4 linked regions of the Schizosaccharomyces pombe genome follow. Changing the gene in region 4 together with the main gene of any one other region gives a genetic interaction. Each region holds a gene or a part of one and is shown on either strand. Other genes may lie near its edges. The genes, in order: ubp8, amk2, swc5 and scs7.

Evidence for each region.
Region 1: mutations in scs7 (region 4) and ubp8 together harm fitness less than expected from each alone (positive genetic interaction), as found in Schizosaccharomyces pombe (2 studies listed by BioGRID).
Region 2: mutations in scs7 (region 4) and amk2 together harm fitness more than expected from each alone (negative genetic interaction), as found in Schizosaccharomyces pombe (3 studies listed by BioGRID).
Region 3: mutations in scs7 (region 4) and swc5 together harm fitness less than expected from each alone (positive genetic interaction), as found in Schizosaccharomyces pombe (2 studies listed by BioGRID).

The regions. Positions count from the first base shown.
Region 1 is NC_003424.3:578,755-583,574, reverse strand, and holds ubp8 (SAGA complex ubiquitin Ubp8), read left to right. Parts: upstream 1-2,094; 5' UTR 2,095-2,184; coding exon 2,185-2,280; intron 2,281-2,358; coding exon 2,359-2,491; intron 2,492-2,591; coding exon 2,592-3,279; intron 3,280-3,324; coding exon 3,325-3,622; intron 3,623-3,626; exon of another isoform or gene 3,627-3,675; coding exon 3,676-3,740; exon of another isoform or gene 3,741-3,785; coding exon 3,786-3,855; 3' UTR 3,856-4,222; downstream 4,223-4,820. Other genes in the region: ysp2 (peptidase family M17 cytoplasmic leucyl aminopeptidase yspII (LAP yspII)), read right to left, coding at 1-1,083; protein Mcp7, read right to left, coding at 4,328-4,820. UniProt on the Schizosaccharomyces pombe protein: Histone deubiquitinating enzyme component of the transcription coactivator SAGA complex. SAGA acts as a general cofactor required for essentially all RNA polymerase II transcription.
Region 2 is NC_003421.2:2,206,902-2,211,250, reverse strand, and holds amk2 (serine/threonine protein kinase AMPK (beta) regulatory subunit Amk2), read left to right. Parts: upstream 1-2,223; 5' UTR 2,224-2,251; coding exon 2,252-2,276; exon of another isoform or gene 2,277-2,329; coding exon 2,330-2,590; exon of another isoform or gene 2,591-2,760; coding exon 2,761-2,863; intron 2,864-2,959; coding exon 2,960-3,428; intron 3,429-3,476; coding exon 3,477-3,515; 3' UTR 3,516-3,766; downstream 3,767-4,349. Other genes in the region: SPOM_SPCC1919.04 (uncharacterized protein), read right to left, coding at 1-148; pbn1 (GPI synthesis protein pig-X), read right to left, coding at 3,781-4,349. UniProt on the Schizosaccharomyces pombe protein: Beta subunit of AMP-activated protein kinase (AMPK), which is required for transcriptional, metabolic, and developmental adaptations in response to glucose limitation.
Region 3 is NC_003421.2:2,099,834-2,103,199, reverse strand, and holds swc5 (Swr1 complex subunit Swc5), read right to left. Parts: upstream 1,457-3,366; 5' UTR 1,448-1,456; coding exon 800-1,447; downstream 1-799. Other genes in the region: diphthine synthase Dph5, read right to left, coding at 1-68, 354-613; FANCM-MHF complex subunit Mhf2 , read left to right, coding at 1,457-1,605, 1,648-1,768; rpl15 (60S ribosomal protein eL15), read right to left, coding at 2,716-3,321.
Region 4 is NC_003424.3:4,055,040-4,059,624, reverse strand, and holds scs7 (ER sphingosine hydroxylase Scs7), read right to left. Parts: upstream 2,850-4,585; 5' UTR 2,668-2,849; coding exon 2,610-2,667; intron 2,590-2,609; exon of another isoform or gene 2,322-2,589; coding exon 1,336-2,321; 3' UTR 810-1,335; downstream 1-809. Other genes in the region: RNA-binding protein Rsd1, read left to right, coding at 3,608-3,661, 3,753-4,543. UniProt on the Schizosaccharomyces pombe protein: Ceramide hydroxylase involved in the hydroxylation of sphingolipid-associated very long chain fatty acids. Postulated to hydroxylate the very long chain fatty acid of dihydroceramides and phytoceramides at C-2.

The sequences.
Region 1 (4,820 bases), 3.5 Mb from region 4:
AGTGTTATCAATTTCTACACTAAGACCGTTGCGCATAAAAATAACATCTCCTGGCTTAGCAGCAGAGCCAGAAGGAAGATTCTCAGTTAAAGGGGTAACAAACACGGCATTCACGGGGATGGAAAGTTGTTCCAAGGCATAAATAGAGGAAAGCATAACAGCAGCACCACCCATATCAGCACGCATCTCCTTCATGTTTTGAGAAGGCTTGATACTGATACCACCGCTGTCAAACGTTACACCTTTTCCAACTAAACCAAGCCATCCATCATCTTTTGATTTTTCTTTACCAATGTATTGTACTTCTAAGAAACGAGGTGGAATATCGGAACCAGCATTCACGGTAAGTAAACCGTTCATCTTTTGCTCATCAATCCACTTCTCATCGTGAACGAATACTTTAACCTTTGAGGAATTTTGGAATAACTCTTGAGCAAAATGACAAAATTGAAGAGAAGTCATGTAATTAGCAGGACATTCCATAAGAGAACGAGCCAAGTTTTGAGCAGCTGCTTCAATCAAACCTACCTTAAAAGCATTCTCCTCTGCGGTTGCAGTTTTCTTCTCAGATGTGTTGCTAAGCAATTGGAAAGTTAACCTTTCAGGAGCAGGAGAGGTAAATAAATTTTCCTTTTCAACCACCTTTTCATCTTGATAGACGCTCAAATGGTCTCTACGAAGAGAAAAATCGTACGTGGCCAAGGCAGCACCCAAGGCAGCATCCTTGGGAAAACCCATACCATCGACAGCTATCGACTTTGCACCATTCGACTTTAAAATCTTAGCTGCCTCTGCAGCAGCTGAACGAACGGACTTTTCAGAAACGTTTTCTTCAAGCTGGACTATGGCAAGACGAACAAAACCCTGAGTGTTCCAAAAGAGACGAATGTCATTTTTTTTGGGAGATGTTTCAAAATACTGGTCAACAACTTGTCGATAATCTTCAGAAAAAACTTGTTTATCGTGACGAACAGCCAAAATCAAGGAATCGGCTTTTGTAGTAGCTAAAGGAATTCTTGGTAAAAGAATGGAAGAAAGTGAGCTCCAATTAAAGGTTCTCGTACTTAGACCTAAACCCTTCATTGTACGTAAGAAAAAAAGCTTTGCTTGTATCTTTGATTTCTCTTGATTTAGAAAACTTAATTAGACACTTGTAATCAAAAAAAAGGTAAAGGATTACGGATTATTATAAGTTCAATGAGAGTTGGATATTCGAAAATCGTTAACTCGTGAAACTACGAATACACGTAAATTCAGTATGCAAAAATAAAATACGATGTCCGATTGCAGATTGGGCAAGGGCAAGTGTACTTAACATAGTCTAGTGTGTTATTGAGTAGACAAGATCAACATTGTGATGGAAAAATACATTCAACAAGGCTAGACATAAAAAAGAAAAAGCACCAAAGGATTTTATTTCTTGATCAAAAACCAATTTTTAAGTAAGTCACACTCATTTGCTACATATATATTTGAACTTCTGCAGACGTATTGTTGCCCTACAATCTCTATTTAGGGTAACACAAACTGTTTCGGCACAAAAATCTGCCCCTAGTCAATTGTTAAGTAATAAATTCTATACAAATGTAATAGACAAAAATTTTCGTACATGTACCTGCTTGCAGTGACTCGGTTGTATTACAAAGATGCTCACGGTAAATAGTCATATATGGTTTTATATTTAGCCCTGCAAACGTTTCATGGCAACAAACATAAGCGTACACTTAAACACGTTCGACGTTAATAGAGGCATTAGTCTAATTTGACCAAGCTTTTAAAAAATTAACAATTTCATCTATTCAACCGTGATTAAAGGACTAGCAGTAATTTTTTTTATTTTGCAGTGACTCAACAGCCAAATCTATGGGAATTTACCAAGTTTATGTTTTAAAGAGGAAAACCAAGGACACTCAAGAACTACGAAGAACATCTATTTTGGTGTTTTATCAATTGACTTAGCGTAGCTATGATAGCTCTTTATACGAAATCGGTATCTAGTAGTGCAGACACTATGAGTACTTTATGGCTCTTAACGCTGTACACCGCATCCTTAATTGCCCAAATTTAAGCAAAGAGAAATAATGTTCTTTTGCCAGAATAGCGAGTTCGTCTATTGTTGTCGTTTCACCCTGCATCGAAGCAGATGCTTTTTAGTCTGAAAGGCCAATTTTGTACGTATCAAGGATGCCTGGGGATGTAGAAGGTTGCCAGCATCTTAAACTTAAACCGGCGGATGTTGAAAACTATCAAAAGATCTGTACCCAGATATTCAGTTGTCATGTAAGGCTTGTGAACAACACTTCATACAGTTCAATTTTCTTTTTCCATTCGATTCCTTTTAACATTTCTTTCATTTAGTTTGTCCCACGTCGCTGCAGTACTTGCAAACGCATCAACAAGCGGAGTATTCGATGCTTGAGTTGTCATTCTGTGGGATGTCTTTGGGGACATCATGGTGAAGAACACGCAATGGAGCACACTCATATGATCGGTACGTTTAGTTGAAAACATAGCTATTGATTTAGCAACGAAACCTTTTTGCGAATATCGAGTTAGGATGCAATTCCCGAATACCAATTACTAATTCTTAGGCGTGGATGTAAAAAATGGCCATACCTACTGCTTTGGCTGTCAAGACTACGTTTATCAGACCGAGTTGGAAACCCTTCGTTTTAAGATCAAGAATATCAAGGCATGGCAAAGTGATCACAAGAGACTTCCCGAGAAGTACAATCAAATGGTTTGCTTAGAAGCCTATCGAAAATACCCTCCAGTTTGCGCAACAGCAGGCTTGAGGGGGATCCAGAACTTGGGTGCTACTTGTTTCATGAGCGTCATTTTACAAAGTATTTTGCATAATCCATTGGTTCGAAACTTGTTTTTCAGTGGGTTTCATACTTCTACTGATTGTAAGCGACCTACTTGCATGACTTGTGCCATTGACGATATGTTTTCATCTATTTATAATTCTAAAAACAAATCTACTTTTTACGGTCCCACTGCTGTCTTAAATCTTATGTGGAAACTCAGCAAATCTTTATGTGGTTACTCCCAGCAAGATGGCCACGAATTTTTTGTATACTTGCTGGACCAAATGCATACGGAAAGCGGAGGAGGAACATCAATGCCGTGCACTTGTCCTATTCATCGTATTTTTAGTGGATCTCTGAAAAACGTTGTTACATGCCTAGATTGCAAGAAGGAGCGGGTGGCTGTGGATCCTTTGATGGACATTAGTTTAGACATCAATGAGCCAACACTTCAAGGATGTTTGGAAAGGTAAAATTTGCTCGTTTTTAGATTTTTTAACAAATATTATTTTAGGTTTGTTTCCAAAGAGAAAGTTCAATATAGCTGTCATAGTTGCGGGTCAAAAAATGCTATTAAACAATTGGTCTTTGACAAACTACCTCCAACTATTTGCATGCAATTGAAACGATTTGAACAAAATAACTTTGCCATGTCAACTAAAATAGATAAGCAAGTATCTTATCCAGCATTTTTAAGAATGCGCTACAACTTTAATCAAGATGATGTGGATTATCAATTATACTCAGTTGTGTGTCATAAAGGAACTCTCGACACAGGGCACTATATTGCCTATACATACTACCAAAATCAAGTATATTAAATTTTTTTTGAATTTTTTATGGAAATTTTTACTAATTTTTGTAGTGGTTTTTGCTGGATGACACCACAATTGTGGAAGTAAAGGAATCGGAGGTCTTAAATTCTCAAGCGTAGGCTCTTTGCTGTTATTTTTTTACATACTAACCAGATTATAGTTACCTATTATTTTACCATGAGCGTCAAATCCTATACAGTGATGAAATGACTGTTAAAACGGAAAATTGAGTTAGATTATGCGATCAGATATCCGTTCATGAACAATCATTATGAACCATGTAAAGTAATTGACTCAAAGGTTCCTTATTTATGTGGTTATGAAACATCATCACTTCGATAATCTAACTCATGAAGAAGCTTTTAGATTTCATATTGTTGAGGCCAGAAATGGCATTGGATTTGGAACCGTTACAACAGTCGCATTTTAATTAATGACCTTACGTAAATTTATAAAAAAAGTTAAAACTATAAAAAAAGAAACATGCTTTTTTTCTTTCAAAGTTAACAAATACTATAAGTTTGAGGAATTTGGACTTTTGTTTTGTTTCGTTTAATATTATTCCAACTAATTATAATTTTATCTTTTAAAAGCTAAGTCTTGTCGTCGAGTAAGCTATTTTATATGTAACTGTTAAAATGTATAAAATTTTAAAATATTAATAAGGAAAACAACTCTTTGAATTAAGGAAGCATGTCAAGTTCACAAAATCGGTAGTTGCAGATCGTCCAAATCCTCTGGAATGCTGCAATACTCACGAATTTGATTGGTATCGGCACCCATGTCTCGACAAAAAGCTATCAAAGTATGGATTTGATCGGTCCACAAATTGGCAGCTTCCATGTACTTTTTAGTATTCTCATTTTTTAATTCAAAGGTTTCAGGATTACAGTGATTTAAATTTGAAAGTTGTGTTTTAAGAAGTTTTAGTTCTGATTCTTTTGCATGTAGCAGTTCCAAAGTGTATTGATTGGCATCATTTTCGGTTCCTTCGTTATCCCTTTTGGATTTCTCGAAACTAATGTTTTCATCTAAAGTTTTAGATTTTTGTTTCAAATCATCAAGTTGAGCTTGAAGAGATCCGAGAACTGACTCTCTTGAACGTTTAGCATCGGAGGGAAAAGACCAGTAGTAATTGCTAGTGCCAATCTTTTCCGTTTTGACGATATTGTCGTCAACGAGAGACTGTAAAACG
Region 2 (4,349 bases), on a different chromosome or scaffold from region 4:
AGACCTTCAAGCTAACGTTCCAGGAAATGACAGCGCTCACATATAGGATGGTAGATAGAATTTTAAGGCTTCTTAATAAGTAATTGAGCACTACAGCTCTGACTACAGTCCATATAGTTTCAAAGCCCTCAATAAACGAGAGATCCATGTCTTAAACAAAAAAGTTTTAAATTAGTGCTCTTAATAATTAGCACTCTGGATGTAAGTGATCAAGGAAGGTGCCCTTTCAAGTTGTTTGCGTAATGCACTATCTTGTATACCATGTCAGCAATATGACACTACGCTATGATACACTACGTTGCGTATCACTATATGTCACATGTTCTAATTATATATCGTACCATGTATGATACGATATGGAGATTGATCTTAATGATAATCTATTAAGATCAATATTATCTGAATACTATAAATAGAGCTACTGCTGAACCTCGTTCCTCAGTTCAGTTATGAGCTATATTAGTGATAGGTAACATTATAACCCAGTTAATACAATACCTATACTCAGTTGCTACTTATACAACCTGTGTATTGTAATATAATAGATCACAAGGAAAACTCACCGTAGTTCTACGTATCCTTAAATCAGATACCAAACTGCGTAGCGTACATACCAATTCTAAATACTACTATTCCTACAATACATTAATGTCAGCTTATATAAAATACACTACGATACACTATAACATATGCTCTAATATTCTATTTGCTCTATTTACTTACAAGATAAGTTATCAAGAAGATTATAATAGTGTTCAATAATAAAAAGATGTTATTTTATTACATAGTTTTTTCAATGCTTTAAATTAAGACAAACTGAACCTCGTTCCTCAGTTCAGTTATTAGCTAAATCGGTCACCAATACTAGTAGACTTATAACAATAAATATAATATTGTTAGTGAAGCATACCCATACCGTTATCTTGTAGCCCGCAAAAGAAACTCATCGCATTTTAGTGTATCGCTAAACAAATACCAAACTACGTAGCAAACAATAAATCGCGTAGGTTATTCATTAAAAGCCTCTAGGATATGTATGGGTATAATTTGTATATTTAAACGGTCTATTTCAAATCCTTCCTCGTGTTCGTGGCTTTAAAACAGCATAAAAAGATTACCACTGAAATCAAAATTTCGTTTGAGTTAGGTGAACGGAAAGAGTACTCTAACAGCATATTCAACCATATGTACTTCAATTCATGACATTTTTGTAATGGAACATATCATATCAAAAAACAATACTTCATACTTTATTGTATCATTAAACCAATACTGAGCTGCGTACTAACAACATATAAGTTTTCACTACTTTGCTTCGTTATAGATTATAAAGTGAAGGATTCATCGCAACAAAAATTCACGTTTGGTTTGGTAAAGTCGTCATTTAACTAAAAAATAATATATTCTTCGTTTCATATGGAATGTATTTAATCAGTACGTTCATTGAAAACACTGTTCTTGTTTTTGCAATGCAGTGATTTTAGTTCGCTTATTTCGCAGCATAATAAGTAGACATGAAAAATTGACGGAAATAGAGCATTTGATATCTAGAAATTCAGGCTTTTTTTAAGTTCGTAACTTAATTTGAGTGATTTCGTCTGAGAAATAGAAGCGTCTTTTTTACGAAAGAAGTTTTTGCGCCATACTTATATATTGTTATACTAGAACGTAGTTAAAAAAGATGAAGCTATACGAGCGTAATGTACAAGGTATTCATTAATTTATAAACATATAATATGCAGGCCTTTCGGTTATGGAAGTTTAACTCAATTAAAGCCTCGCTAAGTTACAATAATTATAAGTGAACCGCTTTTAGTGTATAATTAACTTGAAGGCCTCTCAATGCACAGAGTAGTTTAAAATTTTTCTATATCGTTTCATATGTAGCTTCAATAATTTTTTAAACATTTCCATTAAGAATGAGAAGCATGCTGCTTTTTACCTTCAAAAGATTATACATAGCTGTTGTAGAACTGTATTATACGTCCCAAATGCAATATTAAATTTTTCAGCTTTTATCATACAGCTTTTAGATATTTATTCTTTATAATAAATGGATTTTCAATTAATGTTTTCTTTGATAAAGCTGCAAAACAGTACGAAGCGTTTAACTGTGAATAACGCTGCACTTTAGCTTCCACTATTTAATGATAGCTTAGATACAATAAATAACCTTATTTCATGCTCGTTGGGGTTTAGTTCAAAGTGATGAGCTACAAAGCCAGAACAAACTACTTTACATCATTTCAAAATGGGAAATGTTCAATCTCAGGAGGGTAATGTCCTTTAAGTTAAACACATGTGAAATAAGTATCTAATTTAATGTTAGGAGAGACTCGCGCACATGCTGTCCCTTCTCAAGATGCCACAACAACGCCTGACAATGCAAATAACGTTCCAAAAGAACCACGTGCCCAAAGCATGATTAGTATTGCTGCAGATGATTTGAATCAAGAAGGTGAAATGTCGGATGATAATCAGCAGGAAGGCGGTAATAATCGTACTTCCCAAAACGGAACTTCAGGATCGAGTGGTCATACGAAACGCCGTTCTCAAACTTCAGGCAAGAAGACACATCAGCCTTATTCTGGTAAGTTTCTTTAAGACCGGTTTATTTGATTGCTTGACATCCTTATGTAACAAGGGTGATTTACCGTAACATTGCATTATCATTTAAGCTGTTGACCTTAACGTTTGTTTGCAATAGTTTTCAGAAAGGAGATTTTTTGCAATTGACAATTTAATTACTTACACATATAGGTCCTTGTGTGCCAACCATTATTCGATGGAGAGGAGGCGGTGAAGTTGTTTATGTCACTGGATCGTTTTCTCGTTGGAAGAAAAAAATCCAATTACTGAAAAGGTATGAGTTTTTCATGGTGTGCTTTTTTCTATATTTGAGCCTCCCTTTATAGGTTGTTTATCCTGTTTTAAGCTTGCTAACTTTTTCGCCAAATAGCGAAGATTACACTGTCCTTTTGCAATTACGTCCTGGAACTCAGCGTTTTAAATTCTTGGTTGATGGTATATGGTGCTGTTCTTCAGATTTTCCAACTGCCACCGATGCGGAAGGCAACCTTTACAACTACCTCGAGGTGGAAGCTAATGAGAAGTTAGGCGCTAGTATTGATGAAAGATTGAGTCAAGTTCATACGGACCTTCCGATGGAGGAAAAGTCTGAATCTGAGCAATATTCTACGGAGATACCAGCTTTTCTTACTAGCAACACCCTTCAAGAGTTGAAGTTGCCAAAGCCCCCTTCTCTACCTCCTCATCTTGAGAAGTGTATCCTTAACTCAAATACTGCCTATAAGGAGGATCAGTCTGTCTTGCCAAATCCTAATCACGTCCTTTTAAACCATTTAGCAGCTGCAAATACCCAGTTAGGCGTTCTCGCTTTAAGTGCTACTACGCGCTATCATCGAAAGGTAAGTCGGTTCCTTATACGCGTTGCTTGACTAACTTTGTTTCCCCAGTATGTCACTACTGCTATGTTTAAAAATTTTGATGTCTAGCCATACCGCATCTGTCGAATTTATTGTTTATATTTCGCGACGTATATAATCACTTTAATGATAAATTTATTTTTTTAAATTTCTCAAACATCCCATCATTATACTTCATTTGATTGGTTTATTTGCACGATTTTGTTTCGAGAAAACTTTACGCTGTGATATCAAGCACAAAGCAACCAGTTCATATTTCACTATGTAGCGATCCATAGGTTAATTAATTTTTATAAATACATATCTAGTTACTTCACTTCACGATGTTATTCTCTTAATCCTTTGCGTAACGGAACCTTTTCCACAAATATAGCAATAGGTAGAAGAACGAAAAAATCGCGACTCCATTAGTCACCCATTCTACGACATGTTTATAGGATAAATCGGCTATTGGAATAGATATGCTTAAGGTTGTTGGATCGTTTTGTAAGGTATATTTGTTCTTACTGGAAAACAGAAATCTGAAATCATTTACTTTGTCTTCAGTGTCACAATTCCAGAAAAACTTGGGATTTGTTAATGATGTTTTTAAGTATGTTTGTCCTTTGAGAGGGCTTTGATAACGTGTGTGTAAGGGAATGATAGTGTCTATATAGTCTTTTTGCAACAAACCATCGTCCGTATATATGTCAAACCAGAAAAAAGACCCAGTACCATTTAATTTGTAACTAGGTGCTTCCAAGTCGGTCTCACCCCAAATTCCTAAAACATGCCCTAAATTGTCGGCATGCATTTCCGCAATATTAGATAGCTCGTACCTGTCAATAAACAATGTAGGTGGTATGTACATGAACCCCTGCAAAGAGCATTCGTCTTCAGGTTTATGCAGATTTTTCAAATGAA
Region 3 (3,366 bases), on a different chromosome or scaffold from region 4:
TGTGTATCATGCGAACAGGAATCTTAAGCTCACGAGCTCTTATAACTAGATCAGCATGAGTGGTAGCTCTAAACAATTAGTAATACAATAAAAAATAAACGATTATTAAAAGCACGGGTTCTCAAATTAAAGAGTCATTAGTATTCACTACAATTAAATCTTTACAGATCATAGGGTTCGATGACAAACTGAATGTTCTTTAAAGAGACAATTCGCAAAAACCAAAGCTTTTTTAATAACTGAGAGATGCTGTCGTAAGGGCTAAAAGCCTGTAATAAACAGCTGAGTCAAATTTCTCAAAGTAAATAAAAAAAAGATAAATAAAAGGAACATGTACTTTCAAGTAAACATACCCCATCGGATCACCAACAACAAGCATTGCAACATCACAATTGTCAGCGTCTTTCAAGATTTCATCACTACTGCTCTCTACCATTTCACGATCAGCAAGGATAACCTCTTTACCATAAAGTTCTTCTAATTTTTCCTTCTGAACGAGCAAAATGGACGTATATGCCTCAAGATATATACGCTGACATTTTTTTACTGTTTCTAGGCCTCTTAAGGTAATATCCTTTTCATCAAATAATCCTAATCCAATTAAATAAAACATTTAAATAATATCTGGATATTTTCAAATGAAGTTTTAGAAAGACAACGACTTCCTGGCTTGGAGGAGGTGAAGTAGTTGAAGAAACGCAAAATCGACATGGACTCGTTCAATGCTGCCGGCTGGTGTCTTAGACAAAAGGGGTTCTTCATTAAAAAAAATACTAGTTTTAAGTTTTAAACCATTTTGTTACGGCAACTTTTTCATCTCTCGAATTTTTTCTTCATGTGCAGCACGGGTTTTTGCTAAGAATTCCTGGCGCTCGACATAACCATCTTTATTGGCGATCCGAAGCTCATCTTGAATATCCTGTTCCTTAATATACTTTGACCAATTTTGCTGTGCTTGTTCAAGAGTGTTTAGCTTGTTTTTCTTTAAAACCTTTTGGGCTGACGAGCTATCAAGTGGAGATTTACGGCGTTTCCTTATCAATGAGTGTTTCTTCTTAGGTGTTTCAGCATAGGAATTTTCATCCCCTTCTACGGCAACTGAGGAATTCGATTCTGCAAGTTCATTAGTCTTCAGTTCCACTTCGGTTGTAGACTGTACCGGTTTCTCAATTGCCTCGGATTCATTTGATTGTTGAGGGATTAATTTATCATTTCTTTCTCTTTTATTTTTTTTTGCTATATTTTTAAGAGTAACATCTTCAGATTCACTGGTTGCAATTTTTGATTTAGTACTTTGAACTTGCGAGGCTTCTTTTTCCTCTACGAACTCCTCCTCACTTGAATCAGCATCAGAAAACGACGACTCCGTATCCGTACTGTCACCTGGGACAAATTCCGTATCCTCCTCCTCTTGTTCAAGGCCGAAATCAATTAATTTCTCTGTCATTGAAGTGTAATGGAGCAGGAAAGCGAACTGCTGTCCCTCAATACGTTGGCACGCATTCTGACCTTGTATTTCAGTTCAGAAAAGGGAACCAAAATTACTCCAAGTGCTTTAGAATTAATTACTCAATACTTAAGGATTTATTCAAAAGAGGCAGTTTGGTAAGGGCTTTTGTATTACTTATGTGCTAATTATTCGTTTAGTCGAGCTTATGAAGAGAAAAAGAACTCTATCATGTCATCTTCTGAAAATGAAGATATTGTTTTAGAATTAGAAGATTTGGAAAATGGCATCGCAGCTCAACTAGCCCTTGACTTTAGTTAGGCTGATACTAAATGGAGACGTTTTTAATAAAGCTTTGTGATAGAACGAAATGTTATTGAAACAGTATGTGATAAGCAACGTTTTAATTTTCAGTTGTTTAATTAAATAAGACTTGTGGGGGATTTGTTATAAAAAAACTCAAAACACTCGAGCGTCAATTAACCAGTTTATGGAAGTTATATTATCTTTTTTGTAATGTTTTTTAAAATATTTTTCCAGATTAATCTTTTACCTTTTTTTTTCCAATTGAATTGGTGTTGGATTTTGTTGCCTTTATGATTTCCTAACTTTCTTGTCTAGGCTAGGATAAACAACTTTACTTTGACAAACTCCGGTCCTAAACTATAATTTTTGAAACCTGTACATTTTTTTGGAATTAGAAAGATTGTGAAAAATAATGGATAAGTGCTTTGGGGTGATATCCAATGCAAAACATTATCAAAAGGGAATAATATTCTTCTCTCATGGTATAACAATGAATTTTTGATTACTATTCTTACAATTATAATATACGGGATTGCTTCTTTTTATTAAAAAATACACATATAAAGTTAATATCACCATTTTCTTATTAATGTACTACATTTCTTTTTTTTATTGTTTTTTAACAGAGTGAGCAGAACGAAAAGCACATTCTAGCTTTCATCGCTATCTCCATGCCTTCTTTGCTTAGATTTTAAGTAAAAGTCAAAGATAGTATGTATATTATGTATATTTTTACTATTTGAATAAATAAGCTTATGATTTTTTAAACTTTTTAAACAGTATTTTTTATATACATATACTCTCAACAACAGCCATCATACCATGAGCTTATTATTGTTGAATACAGTTAACTACTTTCTTCCTGAGTTTCTTACAAATAGTTACAAAAAATACTTTCGACTAATATATTTTGAACAACAGAAATGTCTTGTTTTGAGATATTACAATTAGCGCCAAACTCTCTAACGGTATCTGCGAAGAGACAAAGTGTTGTGACGGAGCCAGGTGGCATGCTGGGGAGAGTTGTTGAAACGATGACCCTTGCCAATACCACGAGACTTCTTACCAATGGAAGTAAGACCACGAGACTCACGGTGCTTGTGAACGGGGTTGACAATCCAGTTGATACGAGGATCGCGACGGATAGCCTTGTGAGAGGGATCAACAAGGATAACCTCAAAGAACTTGTAAGTAGCATCTTGGTTAACCCAGTAAGAGTTCAATACACGCAAGTTAGAGCAGTAGCGGCCAACACGCTCCTCAGCGGTACAGCGAGCAGAGCGTTGGTACTTGAGATGGTTAACACCCTGGTGGACGGGTTTACCATATGTTTGACCCTTGGGGACAGGGCGCTTACGACCACCACGGCGGACACGGATGCGGTAGATAACATAACCTTGCTTAGCCTTGTAACCCAAACGACGAGCCTTGTCAGGACGAGAAGGACGGCTGGCACGGTGGATTACATTCATCTGACGGTACTCCCAAGCGCGAACGCGAGACAAGAACAAGTTAACGTCAGATTGCTTCTTCTTAGCAAGCTCTTCCAAGTACTTGTAGGCACCCATTTTGATAAAAAAGCGGTGGTGGTGGTTCTGTGCAACTGATCCTAA
Region 4 (4,585 bases):
GCGTTATAATAGCAATGCTTTAATCATAAACAATGCTTACTCAGTTTTGCTAGATCATTTTTTACTATAGTCTTTATCGGCAAGAAATTGAGGAAACTCCTTCAAGGCATGATGATCGTAATCATTTAAGAAGTCTTTGACATGTATTATGCATCTAAATGTCAGAGGTTGAGAAAAAAACAAATAAACAAATCTGAAAGTGTCAGGAAAATGACTTGGCAATAATTCAAGCTTATTCATGTTAACCAACGTCAATAGTAATGGTTAATAACTCGACGTCCGCTTAACAAACACTAGGGTAAATTTACCTGCAACTTGTAATTGAGGAATTCTAAACGCATTCCCCACAAGCTAGTTTCTGTTAACAAATATTTTTATAGATTTTGTCTAAAATCTATTTTCTGGTTAAATAATCAGTAAATTGCTACACTTTTATTCACAAGAAAACAAATTTTTAAAATAAAAATTTATTAGTGAAATCCTATATGATGATTTAAGTTACCCTAATACTCAAAAAAGGAAGGTTGTCCGAGTGGTTATGGAGCTAGTTTAAGGCACTAGTGCGAAAGCTCGTGGGTTCGAGTCCCACACCTTTCATTACGATCTTTTTAATAAATTTTTTTACATTTTATAAACAAATGTAAAATGACCCTTAAATATAGTTAAAACATATATATTGTGGATATCTCTATTCATCTTCTTCCTAAATTTTTCGTCTCGGCGTTGCATATTTGGTCAACAAAAACTATTCAGCGCTCTTATGATATGGAGATGCTTCTACAAGAAAATCATTTCGCACTACAAACAGATGGGGTGGTAAAAACAATTAAAAATTCGAATTATATTTAAAAGACAGATAAAAGGAAAAATAAAATAGCAACCTTAGACTCAAATTATATAGCCGATAGTCAAGATAATATTATTAAGTTCGACTTAACAAGGTAAAGTTTGAAAACTTGTTCAAAAGAAACCAGAAAATAGTATTAATAGAAAAGAAGAAAGACAAGACAATTTCAATGTGGGATACAAGATGCTTTAGCGAGTGGATCAATCAAATTAAATCAAATTTGATGTTTCTGCAATTCAAATATAATACACAGCTTTAAGGCACTATAATAAGGCCTAGTTAAAGTCAGAGAGAAAATGGGGGAAAATTGCTTAGTGATTTCAAGGGTAAAGAGAGGAGAAAAAATTTGGAAAGCAATTAAAAAAGAAAAGAAAAATACAACAAGATTTATATAGCACACAAAATTATTGATAGTTAAAAAGGACCAAAGAAACTTTTAACACCTTGAAAGCAATTTAGCAGCTAAATGATTCAAACGCAATCACAATCTACTTAGCCTTAGTGCTGATCTTTCCCTGTTCGTTGAAAAGAGGTCCCTCAGTTCCAAAAACACGGTCCCAAAACCAGCTGGTGATACCATAGGCAGACTTGTAATCCTTGTAGTGATGGTCCAAATGCCAGGTCTTCAAATCAGTCAAGTAAGCATTGGGCATACGACGGTGATGTAAGAAATAGTGGGTAAGATCGTAGAAAACGTAACCAAGAATGGCACCAGAGAAACCAGCAACACCAATGTAGTGAGGAAGAACAAGTTGAATAAAGTGATACCAGGGAGTGGCAAAGATAAGGAACAAAGCAGGAGGCATTACAAGACGGTACTTGTCAGCAGGTAAGAAGTGGTGGCAACCGTGGAATGCGAAGTGCATAGTCAAGAAAATAGGATGATCAGGGGTGTACTCATCCAAGTGGAAGAGGAAACGATGCATAGTATATTCAACCAAAGTCCAGGTGAATAATCCAATGATGAAGAAGGTGATAGCAACAGAGAAGGGAATTCCGGTACAGGCGTACAAGAATCCATAAGTGACACAGGGAACCCAAATCAATGGAATCATATACCAAGGGGTCTTGGTAAGAGGCTCCAAAAAGTTTCCAAACAAAGGAGCAGAACCGCTGCCACGGTAATGACGGGGACGGTGAACTTGGTCCAAATAAACATCCTTCTTGATGTTACCAAACAAAATTTGGGGCAATAAAGGCTTCTTGAGGTCAAGGAAATGGTTCTTCTCGAAATCCTTGTCAAGATCGGTAGGCTTGACAATGAATTCATTGCCATAACCGACACCAATGTTCTGGTCGACAAGATCACTGAATTCCTTATTCTTCAAAGGAACCTTAGCACTTTTCAAGATCTCAACAACAGCTTCAGAGTGCTTGGACTTGGAGGTAGCATTAAGGATATCAGCAACCTCTTGGCGGTGATAGCGACGAAGCAAGTCAGCAGCGTCCTTGTTGGCAACCAAGTAGTTGGTGACTAATGGAATGTTAGTATAAAGAACGATACATGTATTTTGGTGTAACTAAGGCAAAGGGGGAAAGGTGAAAAAAAGTTAAAAGCACAACGAACAAAGAAAAAAGATAAGAAATGGCACATCTCCCACAATGGATCTTTTGCCAATAAGCCTTTGCTATATGCGTTTTCATTGTTTTTTATACATTGCCTCTCAAACACTCTGTTGCCGAGAAAAAATTTTAGTCCTTCAACCAAATCTCCTTCTCAAAACCCAAACACCCTGCCATTTCTCCTTGTTTAAATACTTACCATCGTATTCAGTGCCGTCAGAAAGGATAACACACTTTTCACTAGTAACAGAGGCCATTTTGGAGATGGGAGTATGAATTGTTAATTCGTGATAAAACTGTAGCAAGCGTGTTTCTGATGAGTTTGATAAACAAATACAGTAAATATTACAACGTAGCAACTGATCCTATGATTCTTTACTTGGATTTTTGTCCAATTGATCAAAATGTCAGTTCTTTGTTTGTGTTGCGTTAATGGCACGATGTTGTGGCGTGGATGCAGTAGCCTATATATGTCGCAGGAAAGGGCAAAAAGGCATTGCGGGGCGAACCAAAAAATCGTGCTATTTTTGATCGACTTTTCCGAAAAATGGTAAGACAACGGAAAACAATATTTACCGTATCGCAAAACGGGTTCCGAAACTGAACACCAGAAAATTGCACTCAAGGGCCTATACACAGGGAAAGAACAGACGAGTGAAGTGCTTTACAGATACAATTCATTGATTTATTCATAGTAGACTAAAAATTATTATTTGCGAAAAAATACTTGAAAAGAGAAAACCTTAAGTTGATCGAAATTTATTAACTTTTCGTGATTTACTTTTCGTTGGTTTGGTTAGGTATAATTTTGTTTTCCTTCCTTTCCGTTTCTTTGCTTCTTATTGTCGGTAATTGTTTTTAGCTTGGAATTTCCTTATTCCGCTATTCCTCGCTTTCTTTTTTGTTTGTACTAAAATTTCTCTCATCTTTTATCGCTTAGGCAGTAGAATATTCCACTTTTTTTTCCACCGAAAGAAAGAGGACAAAATAGCTCAAAAGAGTACTCATTATTAATATTTTTTAACAAAACAATTCGTGTTAGAAGCGACGAAAGCTACTAGACTGACAAAACTCCATTTTTACTAGCTTACTTAGTTTTCCAGTCGAAGTCTGTTCCGATCCTGTCAGAGTTTGTTGTATTGAAAACGAAAATAAACGAACGTATTTTCCACGCATAGATAAACAGATCTAATCTAAATGCAGCTGGACGCGGAAGCCTTGGCTGAGGCTCCTTTTCGTAAGCAAGAAGTGGTACGTTTACAATTTTTTTCCTTCCTTCCCGCCTTTTCCCTTTGTTTTTTTGTCTTCCCGTGTTTATTGTTTTTACTAACCCTTTTCCTAGCCGCAAAATCAAGAAAATCAGCAAAAGGCATCTTCTTCTTTTCATGAATCCTCACTCACCTCTTCCACTCATAGTCATCCCTCTAACCCTCCTCCACCGCCTACACGGTTGCATGATCGCTCTTTCAAACCCGTGTCTAAAAATTACGAAAGTGAAGGTCGTCTAACTCCTCCTCCCGTTTCAATGGGTTATCGGTACGCCAGATCTTCCAAACAATCTTTTCAACGAGAGGATAGCGGTTATAACGATGATGTAGTTACAAATTCCTCAAGTCATCGCACCCCAAGACACCATAGGAGATCATATAGTCCAAGGTCCGATTATGGTAGTCGCTCTCCCTCTCCTCACTCTTCTGTAGATTCTCATCAAAGTAGATCACCCGTTCGTTCTCGCGATCGCGATCGCAGTTCAAGGTCAAGTCGAAGCCGCCATCCCTCAAGTCGTAGTCGCCATCGATACGATGATTATTCACGCAGCCCTCCTTACTCTTCGCGGCATAGTCGTAGTCGTCGCCGCTATGAAGAACGCTCCTCTCGTTCTTCTAGAGCCCATGATTATGATTATGAGGACTTGAGGGATGATGACCGTTCACATGAGCGTAAGAGAAGTCGTTCCCGTCCTCGTGAACGCTCCTCTAAACTTTCAGAGGAAGAGCGTGATCGCCGTACTGTGTTCGTTTCTCAACTCGCAAATCGTTTGACTTCTAGGGAATTATATGATTTTTTCGAACAAGCTGGTCCTGTTCGCGATGCTCAAATTGTTCGAGACAAGATTAGCGGACGATCGAAAGGGTATGTCTTATAATTTTTTTTTTTTTTTTAAATAGATATTAT